2 linked regions of the Mus musculus genome follow. The protein of the gene in region 2 binds, or shares a complex with, the protein of the main gene of each other region. Links are inferred from orthologs where the notes say so. Each region holds a gene or a part of one and is shown on either strand. Other genes may lie near its edges.

Region 1 (10,358 bases), on a different chromosome or scaffold from region 2:
GGTTGGCATGAAGCTGGTCTATGATAACAGCTAGTATGCAGACAACAGGGCTGTACCAAGGGATCTGAGTCAGGAAGACAGCTTAAGGAATGGTCACATTGTGAAGGGGACTCCAGGATTTGTGTAGAGTTTTGATTGTTACTTTCATAATACTAGCTACAGTGTCATGGTCCAGAGTCAGACCTGCCTTTCAGTCCAGATGCATGTAATTAACCTCGTGGCATCTCAGGCTTTGGCTTCTTTCATTTCTACACTGTTCCTTCTCTTTTTCTTTTTGTTATTTATTTAGCTTTCGCTAAAAAAAATTTTTTTAAGGCATGTGTCCTTGTGAAAATTCCAAAGGTGCACAGCTGAACGGGCAGGGCATCCCGTGTACCATCACATCCTTCTTCCAGACATCTGTCTCCAACATCTGCTTCCACTGCAGTCTTTCCCTTACCTTCAACTGTGCATCAGGCCTTCTGAAGCATCTGGAATCTCAGTGTGAGGCTCTAGTAAGGAGGCCCTATAGGTGGGACAGGCTCTGCAAGGCTGCCCTGACAGGACCTAGAAATGAATACTGAAAGCACAATTGCACTTAGCGAAACTGGGACTCCAACTAGGTCTGGCACTTAAAAGGCAGGGCTTCCATCCTCCTTCCCCCATCCCACAAGGACATATGGCAGTCAGGAACTTCTATCTCTATCAACAGATGCCAGGGCCTGGAACCCAGGAGTTTCCTGCCCAAGGAGCCAAAGATCACTTCCAGGGAATGTTCTGGGCCCTATAGGTTCACCACTAGATGCCAGCTGTGACAAGGTATCTGGCTGAGACAGGAATGCAGGCAGAACTGTGAGCTGTGAGCTAAATGACACACATTTGCATGAGGTTCCTTAAGGTCAAATACCAAGGAAGGAAAGGTCGCCTTCCCATAGACCAAGAGCTCTAGCTCATGTGAGTCAAATATCTGTGCGCATGTAGAAACCAAAAGCTGCTATCAAGGATCTTTTTCAATTATTTCCCACTTTATTTTCTGAGGTAAATCCTCTCACTGGAATCTGGAACTTGCCCATTAGTTAAAGTGGGTAGCCAGCAAGTTCCAGCATCTCCATCTGTCTCTGCCTTCCCAGCCCTGGGATTACAGACATGGCATGCCATGCTTGGCTTTTTAAATGCATTGTAAGGATCTGACCTCGGGTCCTCAGGCCTCTACAGCAAGCACTTTACTGGCTGAGCCATTGCCCCAGCTCCTCCATGTTCTTTGATGCAGAATCATGTTGTGAACTTGTCAGTCACTAAGATTGCCTTAGAGGAGGGTGGGGCAACCATCATCTGAACCTCTAGACTCTGCAATAAAGGGGACACGTCAGCTAGTGCAGTCATCATCAGTGGGACAAGGTTGTCCTCCACTGAGAATTCAAACAAGACCAACTCCCTATTGGCAAGTAGATCTTTTCAACAACTTTCCTTATCAGTGATTCAAAGAAAGTATCTTTGCCCTTCCTCTTCTGCATGACATCCTCTGCTGGGTCCCTCTGAAAAGGAAAATATCCCAGTGTGGAAATCTTTTCTCTGTGATTCTGAGACAAAGAGAAATTTACCTGACCTGAAATACCACCTGCAAATGTCCCTGTACCAAGCAGAATTCTTCTTTGTTAATGCTCTTCATTGTGGAAGGAAGAAAATGTGGGGTTAGGGCCTATTCTGTCCTGGAATTTAGCCCTTGAAATGCATTTAGAAGGGAGGCAGATGTTATACAGCTTAATAGGCATGCACGGAAAGAAAAAGAAGCACAAAAGTAAATTAGGACAGCCCAGGATAGCAGTTAGGATATATATATATATATAAATTCCTGAGTGGATAATATGTGGTTTCATTTAAATAAGAACACAATCTCCATTAATTTAATTTGTCAAAGCAGTAACTCCAACACTTGCAGGCAGCGCCTAGGCAGGCATTTTTAGATGCTTCAGTGCTACTTTAAAACTAAAAGGAGACAGTCCTGTGGAGTTAATTACTAGTAAATTAATCAAAAGTAGGCCTCCCATGTGGCACAGTGCCAGCCTGGGAGTGCTAGCCAGAAACATGGCAAGGTATCAGAGTCTCATTCACAAATCTCTATATATGTGTGGTGCATTATTGGGACAGAGAGGGAACATGAGAAACCAGGACAATGGTTAACTAGAAGAGCTTGTTGACAGAGCTTTAGAACATCGCCATCTCTCTGTTATCTTTATGACCCATTCCTCCATGTTTACAGAAAGAAAACATAGCTATTTCTTTTCCCAGACCAATGTAAGGAGCTTATGTAACTATATGAAGTAAAAAGCATTTTAGAAACTGAAAACAAACTTACAGCCAGCAAAAAAGGAGTCGCTCTGTATCTGTAGTGTTTTGGAACAGTGTCTTCGGGTACAGGATCCTTAAGACAGAGACAGAGAGAGGATACCCAAGAAAGAAGAGATAGAGCCAAGAGAAGCATTATGGAAACTTTAATTAAATATCTGAATCCAGGAAACTGGAAACAGAAGAAATCTTCGTAAGAGAAAAATGACACATGCACACAGTTTGGTTAATGACATGACTGCCAACGTATTGTTAGTGACAAACATATTTATTTTATTTTGCCTTGCTATAAAATATCTGTTTCCCGTGTCTCCCAATTTTTTCAAAAATACAAATGTTCTTACCATTCTTGGTCCAAGAGTGCAACAAAGCAAGCTGTCTTTGCTCCTGAATTACACAGTTAATTGAGGCTATTTGGCCCCAGATTTTATGTGGATAACAGACTGGTCTAGGCCTCCTGTTACTTTCTTCCCTGTTTAATTTTACAAAACGATTTCAGTGTTTTTGTTTTTGTTTTTTGTACATTGTAAATGCATCTATACATTTAGGAAATCAAAGATGAAGACTGCAAACCTCAACTGATACATTGGAGAACAGAGTCCCATTCGAAATATTCTCCTTCTGCATAACTGTCTGCCTGATTCCATCTTCAACAGACATGATACTAATAATAAATGTTTTTGTAATATATATGAACAACATAAAACAGTGTTACTTCCTAACGTGTGGCTTGTTTAACCCCTAAAACGCACAGGTAACTTGATGGAGCCAATCTGAATTTTATCACCCTGACCATTGGTTTCATTTGGGAGATAAAGTCCCCAAATGGGAGTTTTCTCATAAGCCAGGTCAAGACAAGAACTCTAGGGAGCCACGGGTTCATCTACATCTCTTTTCAGATGATTAAAAGACCTTTTCTTCTGGTGTCTGGAAGAAGTAAAATGTCCTTGTCTAATGGGTATTGCTTTGTGTACCACATGCCCAGTAAGTTCTAACATCTAGGAGCATGCAATGGCAGCTAACATTAGCTATGCAATTATGGTATTAGTGTTTAATTATGTCATGTGCATTGAGATATTTTAAAGAGACTACAGGAGTCATTCCCCTTAGCAACCATTATAGTACAGAATGTTCAAAGCTGCAATCACACTCAGAGGCAAATAAATCAGTTACAAATGTGGGTAGCAAGAAGTGTGCATGCTTCAGAATATGTGAAAGTGCTACCCAAAATAGATAGCTCCCCCTGTTTTTGCTTTTAAAATTCCATTTCTGGTTTCTGACCAATCCAAAACTTGACATTTTTTCGCTTTAACACTCGACGGTAGCTTTCCACCTTAGAAATAAATAGAGAGGAGAGTAAAATAATAAATTTGGTTTGTTTCCTCACTGGCTGAGAGTCAATCTCATTTCAAAAATGACTCAATAAAAAAAGCCCTTTTAAGAATAAAGGGCCTGAGGTCTCAGTGGCAACTCACGACGGTGTACACACCTGTGGTTTCACTCTTCCAGGTCAATATACAAAGACTAAACTCTAACAGAAGAAAGTGTGGTTAGGATACTATCTACACACAGTCTCTTCATCAACGGTATTCCCTTTGGCTCATGCACACACACACTCAAGGCGCTTCGTATATAAGACGGTGGAGGTTGGAAGGGTTGTACGTTATGATATGAAAGCTCTTTTTCAAAAGCAAACTTGAAATAAATTAACTGGTTCTCTAAAAATGCCAGTTTACAAGTCCTTGCAGTCTGAGTGTCTGGATGGACCCACGGGTGTCTTTAAAACACAGAAACAAAAGGGTAAACGTCAATGGCCGCACACAATTGGGACTCCCTTTAGGGGAAGACCTTGGTTCTGGTATTGCACTGGGGAGGAAGGCAAAATGTTCTCCACTGGGATCTTCCCTGGGGCTGGGGATAGCTTACAAAAGAAGGAGGCAGTGCGGCAGGTGGCTTAGGAAGCCTCTCCAAGCAAGGTGTGTTACCAGTGCTGGCCAGCCGCCCGGGTACCCAGTTGCGCCTGGGACATGGCTGGCACCGCGGTGGCGGCCGCGGCGGCCGCAGCCGCGTCCCCGACGCCCGGCAGGACAGATCGCACGGATCTGCGGAACTCCTCGTTCCTCCACGTGTAGAGCAGCGGGTTGAGCGCCGACAGGGCGCAGCACAGGAGCCAGCTGGCCGCCTGCACGCCCCAGGGCACCGGGAGGGAGAAGCCACTGGCCAGGCTCACCCACACCAGCGGCTGCGTGGCCAGCAGGAAGACGCAGCAGAGCAGCAGCACCGACAAGCCGCTGAGACGCCGCTGCGCCCGGCGAGGCTGCAGAGCGGCCGGCAGGGGTTGAGGCTGCGCGGGATGCGCGGCGCCTCCCGGACCCGGCGCGTGCGGGGCGGCGGGGAAGGCGGCGGCGGCGGCGGCGCAGCCGGGTAGCTGGTGCAGCAGGTGGAAGTTGAGCACGCTGACCCGCTTGACGCTGACGCGCACGCGGCGCACGATGCCCAGGTAGCAGTGCAACAGCAGCGCCGTCTGCGCAAGCAGCGCTCCCGCCGCCAGGAGCGCGGGGTAGTGGACTTGCGGTGGCTCGGCTCCGGGCTTAGGAGCCCAGGGCGGGAGCAGCAGCACCAGACCCAAGGCGAGCGCCCAGGACAGTGCCAGCATGCCCACCGTGTGGCGCCGTTGGTAGAGCACCTGGTAGGTGGCAGGCGCCCTGGTGATGAGCAGGTAGCGGTTCAGCGCCACGAGGCAATGGGACAGAAGGGACACAGTGAGCCCGAGGCCCAACAACCCGCCCCGGAGCAGGCGGTAGCTGCCTCCGCCACCGTCCCAGTCCCCCGGGGGCTCCGCGGAGCCCGAGGGCAGGAGCCCCAGCACCGCCTCCTGTGGCATCCAGAGGGCGCAGACGCTGAGATCCGCGGCGCAGCCATTCACGATGAAGGCGTTGCTGGTGGTCTGCAGCTTTCGGAAGGACGACACGAGATAGATGACCATACCGTTGGCCAGCGTGCCCCCGATGGCCAGGCCCGAGTACAGGAGAGACACCGGGATCCGCCGGCCCGCCCACGATTCTTCTTCCTCGCAGAGCAGCAGCAGCGATCCCCCGGTAGTGGTGGAGGTCGAAGTGGAGGAGGAGTTGGTCATTCTGGCCAACTCTTCACACCTCGCGCCCTAGCGTTGGCTTCGTGTAGCGTGGCCCATCCTGGCACTTGCCTGCTGGGAGGGCAAAAACATTTCTTCAGCCCGCTGTCACCGACACAAAAGGCTGAAGCCGAATAATGGGCTGGAGGAGGGGGAGAAGGGAGGGAGGTGAAAAAGAACAGGAGAACGGGGGTGGCAGATGACAGGTGCCTGCCTCAGAAATGTCTCCGATGACAGAGAAGGTCCGCTTTACACTCAGCAAGCAGCAGGGAAGCCCTAAGGTCATATCCACACCTAGGACAGTTTCCCCAAACACACACACACACACACACACACACACACACACACACACACACACGAGTTGGGAATGTGTGTTGCCAGCCGGAGCTCTCTTTACCGAGAGAAAGTAGATATCTCCTAGCTGGGAAAAACGCCAAAGAGAGGGAGTAGAGGTACCTTGATTTGGGGCCAGTCCTTAGCTGGTGATAGCAGAGGGAGAGATGCCAGGAAATACCTCCTCGGCAGCAGCATCTGTGGTCCAGAAGTCAACAGGAGAAACTGAGCTGGGACCCGTGCCAGGAGCAAGCGCCTTGCTTCTCCCGTGCAGCATCCCCACACATGGTCCCAGGCAGGAGCCAACAGCTGTGGGGAGTCTCCTCAGCTGGCAGTAGAATTGGAGAAAGTCAAGCGGTAGGCTGCAAGCCCAGAAGGGTGGGCAGGCAGGCAGCAGCAGCGAAGATGCCTGGCTACAAGAGCAGAAGAAACTGAGCTGGAGAGGAGCGCACCCTGTGCTCCAAGCAAGAGCGCTGGCTGATGTGGCAAACCCACTTGGAGCCTCTCCTGCTCAGTTATCCATCACCCAGGGAGAAGACAGCCTTTCCCTGCTTCATGAATTATTCAGTAACTGCTAACTTGTAAAAGAGAAAAATACCTTTTTCAGAGAATCCTGTGGTTAACAAATCTCTCTCTCTCTCTCTCTCTCTCTCTCTCTCTCTCTCTCTCTCTCCATTCTGTCTCATTTTTCACTCTGCCTGATTTTTTTTTCTTTCCTTCCTTTTTTTCCTCTCCTTTAAATGTTAGAGTAAAATTTCATCTCCATCTGAATCATCCTGGAGGTAAGACTTCTTTTCTCAGAGATAAATATACCCCAGTACAATTTCAGAGAAAATTACCTTACATTTGAATTGAAATTCAGCCACATACACACACACACACACACACACACACACACACACACCCTTGGCAAAGTGGGACATGAGTAATTAGCTACAGAAAATATGCGAGCCTTAGCTCAAATCATAATTTCAATTCCTTTTCCCATCGCTAGACACCTCTCCTCTTGGCTTGTGTTTCGGCGGGATGAGAGAAGTGTGAGTACCATAGTCAGGCGATCTAAAGATGGAGTCCATCGTCCAGCTAGACAATGGAACACCAGTTAGCAATGAAGAGGAATCATCTGTCAAGACATAAAACACCTAAGGAAACCGGAAATGCTTGTTATTAAGCAAAAGAAGCATCTGAAAAGGCTGCGCACTGCCCAAGCCCAACTGTATTCCATACTGGGAAACGTAAAACTGCAGGGACCACCAGCTGTCGGGAGGGGGGGGGGGGGGGCTAGGGACCGGGAGGTGGAATACAGGGCAGGGAAACTACTCTGGATGGTACTCTGATGGTGGAAAACATCACTGTACGTTTGTCCAAACCTACTAGATAAACACCCAGAGAACCTGTGTGTAAATTATGGGGTCAATGTAAACGTGTCAGGATGCTTCATCGATTGTGACAAATGAGCCAATGTAATGGAAGATATGACAACTGGGAAGTTGTGTGTGTGCTGAGTAGGAACTGTGTGGTGATCCCTCTCCTCCTCCTCCTCCTTCTTCCTCTCTCTCTCTCTCTCTCTCTCTCTCTCTCTCTCTCTCTCTCTCTCTTTCTCTCTGAACCTGCACGGCTTTTGCTAGGCTGGCTGGCCACTGATCTCCAAGAATCTTCTGTTCCTGCTCTCCCAGAGCTGGGATTACTGATATGTGCCACCATGCCTGGCTTTTTATGTGCGCACTTTGGATCTGAACTCAGGACTGATACTTGTTTGTCAGGCACTTTACTGCACCCTGTCCCCAGAACACACTCAGCAACTTTTATTCAGGCCTGCTGTGATTATTAAACTAAAGTTTAAAGCCTATTTTTGAATAGTGGGTGTTGGGGAAAAGCAATTTCCCTGAAGACTCCATAGGATGAATGAGAAGGACCTCTGAGCTTTTCATGATATGGGATGTCATGGAGACTCACACTCAGGACTCAAATCTGCTTTGGTACAAGTGTTGGTTTCCCTGTGCACTTGGGAACTTCTCCCCGAAAGGTACACCCAACACCCCAACAACAACAACCAAAGGTTGTTTACTTACAAATTTAACATAAAAGAGAAGACTGGTGTGTGGAGTTCCAGGTGTCCTGAATTCTAAGAAAGGCATCCTTCAGTTAGCCTTGGCAGATTATTCCTGCCTTGCTAGCAAGAAGCGTCCACTCAGTGATGTCAAAGGCCCTTTCCTTCTGGACTTTTTCTAAATCCCTGTTCACACATTTAACCTGTCTCCTCTCTGGCACTGCTTGGTACAGACCTCCTTCGTTCACATGGAGTGAGGTCCCTGGCCATGAGTCATGAACCTCTCCCAGTCCAACCTTGAGGATTTATTTCAGAAGGGAAAGAGGAATATACCTCCCCTTACTATTCCTTTTCAAATCTGATTTTTTAAAAAATAAATAAATAAAACCAGTCATGTTGATGACTGTGAAGAACTCTGGTGATGCCAGCAAGCAGGCTCTGATGGATTTAACTAGATCAGGCTGGATTTCAGTAGAAAGAGGAAGAACTGAAAGAGAAGCCGTAGTTTGGTCTTTCTGGGGCAAAGGTTCGAATGTCCAGCCTATTGGTAGCCTGGAACGGTTGTCCCATCCTCTCCTACAGTCTTCTGCATTAAAGGCTTGAACACCTCAAACACAGCAGGGTTGCAAGAACCTCCTCCCGGATCAGCTGTAGCGCAAGCATGTCACCACACTTAAAGTTGCATTACCTCCGTCGTAACGGGATTCTGTGTTCAAATTCCAGGGTCTGGGTCTCTGGAATAAGTCGTAAGGACCCATCTCAGGGACTCCTTCCCATGAAGCCTTATTTCTGCCAAAGGCAGAACTCCTTGATTTAGCCTAAGCCTGGAAGGCCAAAGTCTTGTCTGGGTTTTGTTTTGTTTTGTTTTGTTTGTTTGTTTTTTCATTTAGATTCACTTTTGTTTTAGGTCACTGGACTTAAGTAATACAATGTAGAAGGAGTGGTTTTTTGTTTTTTGGTTTTTTTTTTTTGTTTTTTTTTTTTTTTTTTTCTGATTCACAGCACATCGCCTGGTACATGGTAGATCCTTCTTAAATGCTCTTTGGATTAATGAATAATGACCATTGGGAATTTATTTTTTCTCCTAGGGAAACATTTCCTATTGGTCCCTTTCCTAATTCCTCCAGAGGAGCTTGTCCATTTATCTCCCTGTCTGCTGTATTCTCAGCATCCCTGGGGGTTCACCACAACCCACTGAAACCTCCCCTGGACTTCGTTTCCTTCTCAGGGTGGCACAGTACAGCTCACTTCCCTTTTGTAGTGGAAGCACCTATTTTCTGCTTCGGTTTCCTGTTCTCCCACTGAGTGTCCACCCACACAGCCCTCAGTTCTCAGCACAGCTTCGGCTAAGGTCAACAGCAGCCTCTAATTAATGAACCGGGGAACCTACCACCTGCTCATTATTCTCCTGTTGCCCCCCTGCTCCCTTGGACTCGCCCACAACACTCAAGTGTCATGGGTTCCTTATGTGCCAGATGCTCTGTTCTCCATTCTCCTCTCGCCCTTTTTTCTGGCTAATTACCCAGGTCTTATCCTAGGTTCTCACTCTCAGGCACAGGCCACCACCTGCTTCTCTTCCACCCTTCCTTCTACCCAGACCCTCTAGCTAAACTCCCTCCTCATTTCTGTCCTCTAGTCACCAATTTCATGAATACCGTTCCCTCGGAGTTCCTAAGAATTCTATCCAAATATGCCCGCAACTGTAGCTTTCTGATTTAGTGCTTTAGAGCCACGAGCATTTCTGCCCAAGCCTACTCAGAGGTTTTATATGAAATGATGATTTTTTTCCATTACATGTTGATATAATGGGTTACAATTATTACATTTTTACATTAAAATACTCATATTTTAATTTTTGTTTTCTTTTTTGTATCAAACAGTTTATATATTCATATTTTAATTTTTATGTTTTCTTTTGTTTGGGGTTATAATAAAATCATAGCTTAAAGGAAACTTCTGCGCTCTCTTCTGCAATCTCTTTGCCCAATTGCCTTGTGGGACTGAGCAACTGCTAGATCCTTGGACTTCCATTCGCTGCTGCTGCTCACCATTGTTGGGAAGTTGGACTACAGACTGCAATGTTCATTGGAGTAAGCTGTTTTCCAAAGAGTTTATTCATGAGGGAGTGAGATTCCCAACTCAAGAATGAACTCCCCTGAAGATACGATTGAAGAAGTGACTGGAGGAAAGAGATATGATGGCATCTATCACGTGGACAGTTAGATTTCATGGCTCTTCCAGAAACAAGTGGTCAGAAACTGACAGGGTTAGCATAAAGTGTGGTTGGAGCTCCGGCCTTCTGTTGTGACAAGGTGACTCATGGGGCACCTGTGTGTATCGTTGTGAAGGTTTGATGGCTTCAGTGAGTTTAAGATCAGCAAAACTAACCCCAGGGCCCTGAGACAAAACATACAAAGAGAGGCTGGAGAGATGGCTCAGTGGTTAAGATTACTAGCAGCTCTTCCAGAAGTCCTGAGTTCAATTCCCAGCAACCACATGGTGGCTCCCAACCATCTG
Region 2 (10,087 bases):
AATAAACCCTTTCCTGGTGATGAACAGCAGAATGGAGTTGTAAGCTGAATAAACCCTTTCCTCCCCAACTTGCTTCTTGGTCATGTTTGTGCAGGAATAGAAACCCTGACTAAGACAGGGTACTTGTCAAAATAGCTGAAAGCTTAATTGAGTTGGGTCCTATGAGAAGCAAACTTATAAGCCCCCAACTCAGACATTCAAATGAAAAGACTTCATCTTTTTATGATGATGATGATGATGATAATAATAAATCATTATTACTATAGTATTATAGGTGTGTTCTGTTTGGGTAGCTTTTTCATCCTATGGGAAGTGGGGAAAATTATGTTGTGGGAAAAAATGAAATAATGATATAAGACCATCTACATTCTACGAGCAAGTAAGGAAATGGTCTGTTGCCTCTTGGCCTGTTGGCTAATATCAAGTGAAGAAGGGGGAAGGTATAACTATGAGCTGCACACACATGATACCACCCAAGAAGAAGCAGGGATGGCCAAGGGGCAGGATGCAGCACCTCCTGGTGCAGACCCTCAGCAGCGATGCTCCCTGCCTGGACACCTGGTGGGATTAGGGAGGGCTGAAGGAGGATTCCATCCCTATGAACTGCATTTTGAATGGTTGTACGGTGGGATGTTCAGAATTCATGGCCTCCTCTTGTCCCATAATTACATCTAGAACAGACAACTTGTTCTACTTGTTTACTTTGCACAAAACATACCTAGAATCTCACTCACACCCAATAAGAGACTTTGGGGTTTCCCATGGTGCTGTTAAGAACAGAAGTGGAGAAGATGGGGTGCAGAACAGACTGGAAGCTCTGACAGTGGCATACTTGGGTATGGTAGGTAAGGTCAAAGTTCCCAGTCAAGCCCCATCCTGAAAACCTGTGAATGTTGCCTTATGTGGTTAAATCCACTTTGCAGGTATTAACTATAAGTCTTTGTAGATTTGCTTGATAAAATCATAAAGGCTGTAAGAAGTGAAGAAGAGAAACGGGAGGAAAAGCTCACTGGCTACTGTTGGCTCTGAGTAAGCAGCGGCCTACTATAAACTAATTAAGACATGCAGCTGCCTGGAGAGCAATTCTCAGCCTTAGGGTCATGACCCCTTTGGCAAACTCCAGTCTCCAACAATATTCACATTACCATTATGATTCATAAGAATACCAAAATGACAGTTATCAAGTAGCAATGAAAATAATTTTATGGTTCGGGACGAGGCTGGGGGGTCACTGCAACATGAGAAACCATATTAAAGGGTCATACAGTGGCAAGGTGGAGGGCCACTGCTCTAGAGCATGTGAGGAATGCCAGGGAACAGAGCAATCCCGAGAACCTCCACAACAGACTTCCTTTTTCACAGGTTCTAGGGATGGGGCTTGACTCGGGACTTTCACCTACCTACCGTCTTAACCCACCGGAAACCTGTTTGGGAAATCTGCCCTCCAGAGCCCCATATCAAATATTCTTTAATTTGAAGCCACTTAATATAAGCCAATGAATGCTGGTTTTAAAACTGTTTCCTCCTAGCTGTATTAAGATTTCTAACCATCATTTAACAAACTATTATAAAAGATAGCCTGAGTACTACAAGATAAGGCTCGGTGGCCCTTCGTTCATAGGCTCAAATGCCATCGGAGATCTGGAGCTCACCAGTGCCTGACCCTAGGGAATCACCCTCTGGGGAAATGCATGGCAAAACATGTGACCAAGAAATATGTGACCTAAGAATGTGACCAACACACTTCGTTTGCCTTGCATGAATGTGTTGATCTTAGATGTCCCAAGGCAATGAGAACAAATAACAAAAGAAAAATTAAGATTGTGGCTGGGTTCAAAAGCTTACAATACATATTTTCAAGTTTTACCAACATTTCCCCCCAAACTCTAGACGATAACTCTTCTGTTTCTGAAGCCGTTCACTAAATCCTATAAGGCAGGCATTATAGCTTCTGTCCGTGATACATTCCACAAATATCATGGTCTAAACACTTGAGCAGAGGACCTACGTGTACCAAAAACAAGAGTAAAATGCCCTCGGATCATTAGGACACTGCAAACAGTAGACCCCACTACAACAAAACGCACTGTCACTTTAACGATTACTAGAGTTATCTAAGAATAAGCTTGGTGTGGGAAAGCACTCTGTTTGATTTTAGGTATCATTCCTTCATTTTGGTCCTTTCACATTTTTACTAGTCCTTTTTCTTTAACGCTGTTTGGCTGCTATTTGTTCCTACAGACAGTGGGAAATTATGAAGAATATATTCTGGCATATTTTTACATAATTTAGCACACATTTACACATGACAAAGTAAAAGGCCTGTAAAGAAAGTGTGGAACACAGAGAAAACATAAGGACTTTGTCCCCTGGTGTGTTCACAGAAGTTGGACTCAGGCAGTCAAGAAGACCAAACACTAGACATCAACCGCACATATTCTTAATCCCTGTTAACTGCTCCTGTTGGAAACGCTGAGATGCTGGCGGAGAGGAGCCGGGTCTAAAACAGATGTTCATTCGGCATGCAATGGAGAAGGCAAGAACGGTTTCTGACACACAGCACGAGAGGAAAGAGAGGCAAAGGGAAAAGGCCAAGAAGAAGCAGAGAAATCTTCAGCAAGGAGGCTGTGAGGCAGAGGGAGCCTGGAGCTAGAAGTGGGAGGACGGGAAGTGGATTCAAGAGAAACTCCACATATGCAAAGCACACAATGACACAACCAGTAGCTCCAACTAGAATAACTACTAACACAAATAGACAGGGACACAGAAGCACACAACCCAGGGGGAAATGGCATGTCGACTCGTCCAAGGGAACATGTTGCCTCTCTGATAACTAAGGCTCTGGGAAATGGCTAAAGCAATGAAAAATGGAAACCTGATAAAGCAAGAATTCCTCAACTACACAAGTCATAGTATGTGTCCAAAGGCAGTGGAAGGACTGCTGATTGAAGGGCAACAGAAAATGCCCGTCAGCAGAAAACTTAAAAGTCCCCACCCGACTCCCCACCCCCACCCCAAGCCTATAACTATAACAGTATGCTATGCTAAGGAGGGAAGTCGGCTTCTGGGGGTGATTTGCTTGTGTGCGGAAGTGAGTATAGAGTACCGTCTGCTATAATAAAAGAAAATACAGCTCAAACCTTTGCAATGAGATTGCAACTGAGCAGCGAATTCTTGAGAACTGTACTTTTTTTTTTTTAAAGCTAGTACCTTTTATCTTAAAAAATCATCACCAAATGCAATTTAATAAATGACAGGAGTCCAACATAGTCTAACTGAACAATGTCCTAATTGTAATTCTACTGACCTTAGAATCATGAATTCTCAAAGATGTAATAGTAAAAGGTATTTTCCTCTGGAACAGTTATCCATACACAGTGGAAAGAGTGCTAAATATCTGCATGGATCATGTAAGCATCTTAACTGATTCATATACTGAAAGCTGGAAACTAAACTGAAATACTTAAGTGACCAAAAGTGCAGCCTGATCCCCTTCAGGTCAGAAGACAAGATTTGGTCCTCTCTATTGGTGCAGGCTTGAATCTCTGGACTTAGGGAACAGGGAAACACCTATGATTCAAATAGTAAATACTACACACCCAGCACCCAAATAGTTACTAATTATTTGCAAATCTTATGCAAGAGTCTCTCACTTCAGATATTTAAAACAATGCATTATTTCATGCAAAAAATGCAATGTTCTAAATAGACTGTTTTAAATGTTTTTATGCTGTATCTTTAAGTAAATTATTGAGAAGCAAAACTAAACAGATGAAGATGAAGATGAAGACACCCTCCTAGGAGTCCAGGTGGTATTGCTGGGTTACTTAGATACCACTTTACATCTCAGTTGACCAGCTACCATGAGTTAGGTGGATGACACCATAGAGTTACTTGCACACAGCCTTAAACATCCAAATTTGGACTAAAGGTCATAGTTCACTGCTAAGTCTGACTTGGGGAAAAAATTTTCAACTATTACAAGAATTAAGATTTGCGAAATAAGTACACAAGGATTTTTTTTTTCTCTTAAATGGGAACTAGGGTGTCGGATGAAGTGGTGCACAGGAAGACAGGGGTGGGCTGGAATTCTCGACAGAAAATACAGTTGTAGATGAAAGCAAAACCTCAAAGCTAGAAACAACACTTAAAGGAATTCCTTCACTGTTTCTTTGTTTGCTTGTTTATAACTTTAGAATCCTTCTCATGCACTGGTTTGGAGGAATAAGAACTGTATAATTTCTTCTGAAAATCAGGACTCTGGTACATCTCTCATTAACTCCCCACAGATGGTAAGAGAGATCAACTTCAGCTGCATGTTACACACTCAACTATATTTAATTATTAATCTAAAACAGTGGTTCTCCGCAGAGGTTACATTTCTGCCTCCAGGGGGCGTTTGGCAACATTTTAGGAGATTAGAAAGGGTGAGCAGCAATTAGCATCTAATGGGTGGAGGTCAACTTCATTGCTAAACATCCAACAGCACACAGGATACCTCCACACACACAGAGAACAACAAAGAATTATCAACTTCAAATCGTCAACAGTGATAAAAAGAGATACCTTGCATTCTGAAGCTTGCAAAAATTCCATTTTTCAAATCTTTCATAGGTGTCTAATTAAAAGATAAGCTGCCACTATCACTGGGAGGGCTCATTTTACAACTGCTTTAAATGTGGTGGATGGTAGCTCCAACTGAGAACAGTATTACAACCAAGGAGACCTTCCAAGCAGGTGCTCTGAAGCCACAGAGAAAGAACTGTCTAATCCCTTTATTTTATGTTTATTGTAAGTTACATGGTTCTGTGGCTAATATTCTAAAAACACGCCGATCTCATGGAAAGACAGTATCTTTTTAATATAAAAACTCAGTCAATCCTATTTACAGAGAAAGATTTATGGGGAGGCTGTGATGGGTGAAAAACACCACCCAGGTCTTTAAAATGCAAAGTTATTTCACAGTTTGCTTGCAAAATGACTCAGATCATTATTACTTTTAGTCATGCCAAGTTTGCTTCTTCTAAGCCTACTAGTAATGGAGAAAGAAGGAAATAACCACCATCTTTCTGCAGTCGTTAAACCAATGAAACGGGAGCTTACTAAAAAGCAGATCTGTGCAGCGATGTTTCTCTTTTATCACAACTGTGAGAAGAACACAAGCAAATCGCTGGAAGTGCAAACGAAGATTCTAAGAAATCTATCATCTGCCTAAATACCTACAGTGTGGGAGAAAAACAAACAAAAGGAAAAACCCTGACTCACAGATCTAAAAAAACCATAACCTGTGAATATTTTCCTTATATCGCTCAATCAAAATCCGGATCTACTCTTTTTTTTTTTTCCTCCGTTCAAAAAAACTGGAAGAAAGACCTTCACGTCGCCTATTAGCAAAACAGTGTTAAGAATGAAGAAAGAAAGCATGGTGTGCAGCTGTCAAACCTCACTGGAGCGAACACCGCAGTGGAGGAACGACCCTGTGGTCGAGGAGCCTTTCGCACCTGTCAGGGCTGTTTTCACCCGCGAAGCCTCTTTCCCTTCCTACTATGAGAGCAAACGTAAGCCAACTTTGGTGGTTTCCATCCCCCACCCAGGCAAAATCCAGCTTCCAGAGCAGCTCAAGTCCTTACGCAGGGAAAATCTCAGCGCTCTTTTCCACTCACTGAGTCGCCATATGAAGTTGACAGGAAGATCACTGAGACCCCGCAGAGGAAGAGGACCCACAAAGAGAGCCCCGAGGCCACCCAACGTGGCACTTTCCAGGCGTGGGCAAAGCGCAACGCGGCACGACACCTCTCACCACCGGGTTTCCGTGGAGAGGGGGTGCTTGGCTTTGTGGTCCCGAATTGTCCCTCATCTAGGGAGGGCAAAGCTCAACTTCAAAGATCGGATTCCCACGCGTCCCGCCGCCCCGCCACACTCTGGGCTGCCAGTGAGGTCGCGCGACAGTCACCGCCGCGGCCAAGAAGCCGCCTGCGCTGTTGAGGGACTGGGATGCCGCGCTCGCTCACCGCTGTCCCCCGGCCCGGGCCCCGTCCCCACGGCCGCGCTCACCCAGCAGCAGCAGCTTGACCTCCCGCGCCGCCTTCTCGCCGTCCTCCCGGAGGTTGCGGTCGATCATCTTGCTGCGCTCCACGGCCGCCTTGTCCTCAGCGCTCAATGTGCAGCCCATGGTGGCCGAGCGTCGCCGCGCCCTCGGCGCCGGGGCCGGCTGGCAGAGCGAGGAGAGGCTGGCCCGGAGGCGGCCCCGCTACGTCCTCAGCTCCCGCAAGCTGGAGGCGAGGTCTGCTAGTCCGCACGCTGCCGCCTCGGGCGGCCGTCCCTGCCGGCGACACTCCGCGATCCGCGCCCGCGAATCCCTGCGACCGCTAGGCTCTGCCGCCGCCGCCGCCGCCGCCGCCACCGCAGCTGCCCGTGGCCGAGCCGCAGCCGCGCACAGCCCGAGCGAGCTCGGCGTCCGCGCGCCGCCGCGGCCCCGCCCCTGCCCGCCCCGCGACCACTCCCAGCGCGCGCTCACGCCCGCCCGCGCACGTGCCGTCGGACAGCGCCCCCTCCGACCGCCGCGCGCCCGCGTGATCGCCGAGCCCAGCTTTTCCTGCAGGTCCCCCCACGAGGTGCCCCGTGCGGCCGCTGACTTCTCCAGCTCCGCCTGGGAGCTCACTAACCCCCTCCCACGCTTTGGAGACCACTGCGGGGGATCCGTGGGTACCTGCCCCTTAAGAGCGCGAGTGGGACGCTTGCCAAAGTTGCGAGCAAGGGGTGAGGAAAGGCAGTCCAGGGCATTTGAGCATGCCCGGAGCCTGCAGCCACCCAAGGGTTTACAAAATGTGTAGGCTTAGGTAAAGAACCGTGGGAAATAGAGCGAAATGAGCGAGAAATGGAGCCCTGCGAAACCCGAAGTGGGGAGCAACCAAGCGGGAATTGGGGTCTTGGGGTTGCCAATGCTCACTTCCTCCCTTGCCTTTTCTCTTTTCCTCTGGCTCTCCCTTTGATCTATGCTCACCTCCCTTTTCATAAGGGAACACATTTCTAAGGAATTTCTTCCTAATCCGACAGAAACGTTTGACAAAGAATCAAAGAATTGTTTTAAAATGGCGTGAGCAGTAAAACACACAAACAAGTCTGCGGCCTCTGTGGTAATGGATCGCCTTTAGGGCACTTGTAAGTGTCTTGCCAAGCTGCCTACCCATGGTTTATGGCTCTGTTGTAACTCCTGTGCCAGTAGGCATGGCATTTCTTTTTGTAGGCCTTAGCTTCCTTGCTTTTAAATGAGCTGTTGATCTACACTACAGTCCATCTTTCCAGGGGCAGGCCAAGGACTAGATGGCTTTTCATCCAGCGTGAGGGGAGGAGCATAGGTGGAAGGTTGGACTCTCCTGTCAGTTGCACTGCTGATTATAGGAGAAATGTTGATGAATTAGATGATGAAGCCACTAGCAAAGAAAATACATTCCTCGACGAGATAAAAATTAGGCAATTAGTCTCTGGCTCCCATTTGAATATTTAGCTTCAGGTTGGGTCCCTCAGAGCAAGCAGAGCTTATAGGTTTCCGTTTTGTTAGAGTCACACCTGCGGGGCACAAGATAAGCAATCTTAAGAACTCCCTCCGCTTTTTGTTGGATTCTTTCAAAATAGAACAAAACCCGCACACTTTTAGGGTACTCGGTCACCTTCTACCTCCTTTGTGTTTCCTGACACTCCAAAAGTTCATCAAGAATTCCAGAATTAATGAAATCTAATGTGACTGGGCCATTTGCAGCCATCAGTTGACTGTCCTTCCTCCACGGTTCAGGCCAGATAAGTGTGGGGCCAGCCAAAAGGGAAACAGGACTGAGGCATGGTGAAGCTGCACACCTTGTATAGGAATTGTCAAAGACTTATATGAATTGCCCCTTCCCTTTGAAAAGCTCGTCAAGGACATGAGGAAATAATCCTCACTTCTGAGAGGATGTTGGAAGAACTCTCCAGGGAAGCTGGTGGGCAGGGAACTGAGCACTGGAGCCCTGAACTGGTTGCCATAGCAAAGTATGGTGATCACATGACTTCAACAGCAGGCATTTATTTCTCAAGTCTGGAAATCTAAGATTAAAGGGCCAATGGATCCAGCTCTCTCTCCAGTGAGGGTTTTCTTGAGGAAAGAGGACCAGGGATGAGAGAAGAGAATTCTTTCTTCTCATACTGATATTGGCCCGCCACGTTCAGGATTCCATCTCTATGTACTTCCCAAGGGCTCTGCCTTCCAGACCAGGGTGTTAGGGCTTCAGCCGAAGGGTACTGAGGAGACATAAGCATTCAGTCCAGACTAGGGAATATTTTGTTTCATATGAATATCTAACTAAAAGATTAATAGGCAAAGTGTGAACAGAAGATGGCCAATATTTTATGATTGAAATGAAGTTTGCTGTGATGACTGAAATGAATGGAATGAACTTTTAAAATGAAAGTTTAAAAAGAACTATAAATATTGAGGTAAATAGTTGGACTTGTTACAGTGAGTGCTAAGTGTGCGTACATTCTTCTGAGTTAGGTAATAGAGATATAAAAGGAAAAATCTCTGCATTAGATGAAAACAAATGAGTTACTTACTATACTAATAAGTGAATGACATTGGTAATTCAGATATGAGATGGTAACCATCACTCACACTAGTAATATACATAATTATGATTTTGCAAAATATGACTCAGCAACATTATCAAGGAGTTGGAACAACCATTACGAAATCATCTACTATAGAGTACGTGAAAGAGTAAAATCGAAATTACAGAGGTTAAAAACCTACGTCTGAACACACGTTTCCCTTCAGAAATTCGTGATTGTTTTAACAGCTATACTAATTCCATAACACCTATCAATTTGAAATGTTCAGTTCAGTGGCTCTTAGTAGAGACAGAGTTCTACAACCACACCATTTGTGAAATGTTTTGTGCCCCACCAAGAAACCCCATATCCTTTAGCCATTCCCCCTAATCCAGTCTATTCTTCCAGCCCTAGAAAATCACTAATCTCATTTTTCTTCTTTTGCCTAATCTAGACATTTACATAAACAAAAAGAACCATATAATATCTAGCCTTTTATAACTGACTCCTTTGATTTACCATATTACTATTGGTTTTGAATGTTACTTCTTTCTATTGCTAAATGATGCTGAGTCTCATGTGCTAAGATAGACACACACATCAAGAAACAAATTGGGACATAATTAACTAAAAAGCATCAGGGTTTGAAATAGCTCTAAACTGAAATGGAAGTTTCTGGATATGTCAGGTGATGCAGACTCACGTGTTGTTTTGCTGAGGCAGGACTCATGGGAGGATATGTGATGTTTGGAGAGAGTATAAATAGAACTCAACAGACAGTGACAGTGTGCTTGCGTAGCTAGCTTTGCAACACTTAGTCTCAAGTCTTCATTGATTTTTGCTTCATTGAGAGAGGGATAGCAGAGAACTTTTCCTGGTGTCCTGGATGATCCTAGTCACTCCCACTGATCCATGCTGATTTGGAAGCCTAGCAGTTTCTGCTGGATGGTTCCACGTCTGCTGATTCATGTTTGGTATCCTGAGACTACTGAACTGGATTGCTGGTATTCTGACAAAAGGAGATTGGAATTTCCCCAAAGAACTACTTCTAAACAGATCCACATCTCCTTGTCCTATTTACCATCTTTTCTCCTCTACCTTTGGATGGTGGGCTAGAAGTGGAGGTTTGAACCATTTGAGGATCCTTATTAAATGTAGGTTTTGAAAAATCTCAGCCTACACTAAACTATGTTATAAAATATCTTGGGGGAAAATTGTGGGTATTTAATGTAGGAATGAGAAGAAACATTTGAGCTGACCATTATTTTCAAACGAATGAGGATATGTCATAAATCAGAGGCCAAGTGACTTTGGGTTGTAGAGGTAGAAATACAAAAAGAATGCTACAGCCAACAAAACTTCCTTGGAGTGAGGGAAAGAGGTGCACAGTTCCTGCTTATTCATCATAGTCTAAGATGTAAACATCTATTTGAGCACTCTAGACCTATATCAGCTTTGAAGATTCTACAGTTCTCAGTCATCAAATGGCCTGGTCCCATTTGAGTCT

What was found. Proteins that work in one complex are often made in the same cells at the same time.
Region 1: the proteins of Gnai1 (region 2) and Gpr88 are in contact, whole or in part, in a cryo-EM structure (PDB 7EJX), measured with the Homo sapiens proteins. The link is inferred for Mus musculus from reciprocal best matches to the Homo sapiens genes GNAI1 and GPR88. Residues at the interface, in NP_002060.4 of Homo sapiens: Arg24, Glu28, Ala31, Arg32, Tyr320, Asp337, Ala338, Thr340, Asp341, Ile344, Asn347, Leu348, Lys349, Asp350, Cys351, Gly352, Leu353, Phe354; in NP_071332.2 of Homo sapiens: Ser66, Arg138, Leu141, Ile142, Pro146, Ala147, Gln150, Gln154, Ile215, Arg218, Val219, Ser222, Val223, Arg225, Val226, Ser285, Val286, Tyr336, Arg339, Asn340.

What each region holds. Positions count from the first base shown.
Region 1 is NC_000069.6:116,247,200-116,257,557, forward strand, and holds Gpr88 (probable G-protein coupled receptor 88), read right to left. Parts: upstream 6,286-10,358; 5' UTR 5,915-6,285; intron 5,534-5,914; 5' UTR 5,462-5,533; coding exon 4,307-5,461; 3' UTR 2,455-4,306; downstream 1-2,454. UniProt on the Homo sapiens protein: Orphan G protein-coupled receptor implicated in a large repertoire of behavioral responses that engage motor activities, spatial learning, and emotional processing. May play a role in the regulation of cognitive and motor function.
Region 2 is NC_000071.6:18,353,998-18,364,084, forward strand, and holds the start of Gnai1 (guanine nucleotide-binding protein G(i) subunit alpha-1), read right to left. Parts: upstream 6,417-10,087; 5' UTR 6,173-6,416; coding exon 6,055-6,172; intron 1-6,054. UniProt on the Homo sapiens protein: Guanine nucleotide-binding proteins (G proteins) function as transducers downstream of G protein-coupled receptors (GPCRs) in numerous signaling cascades.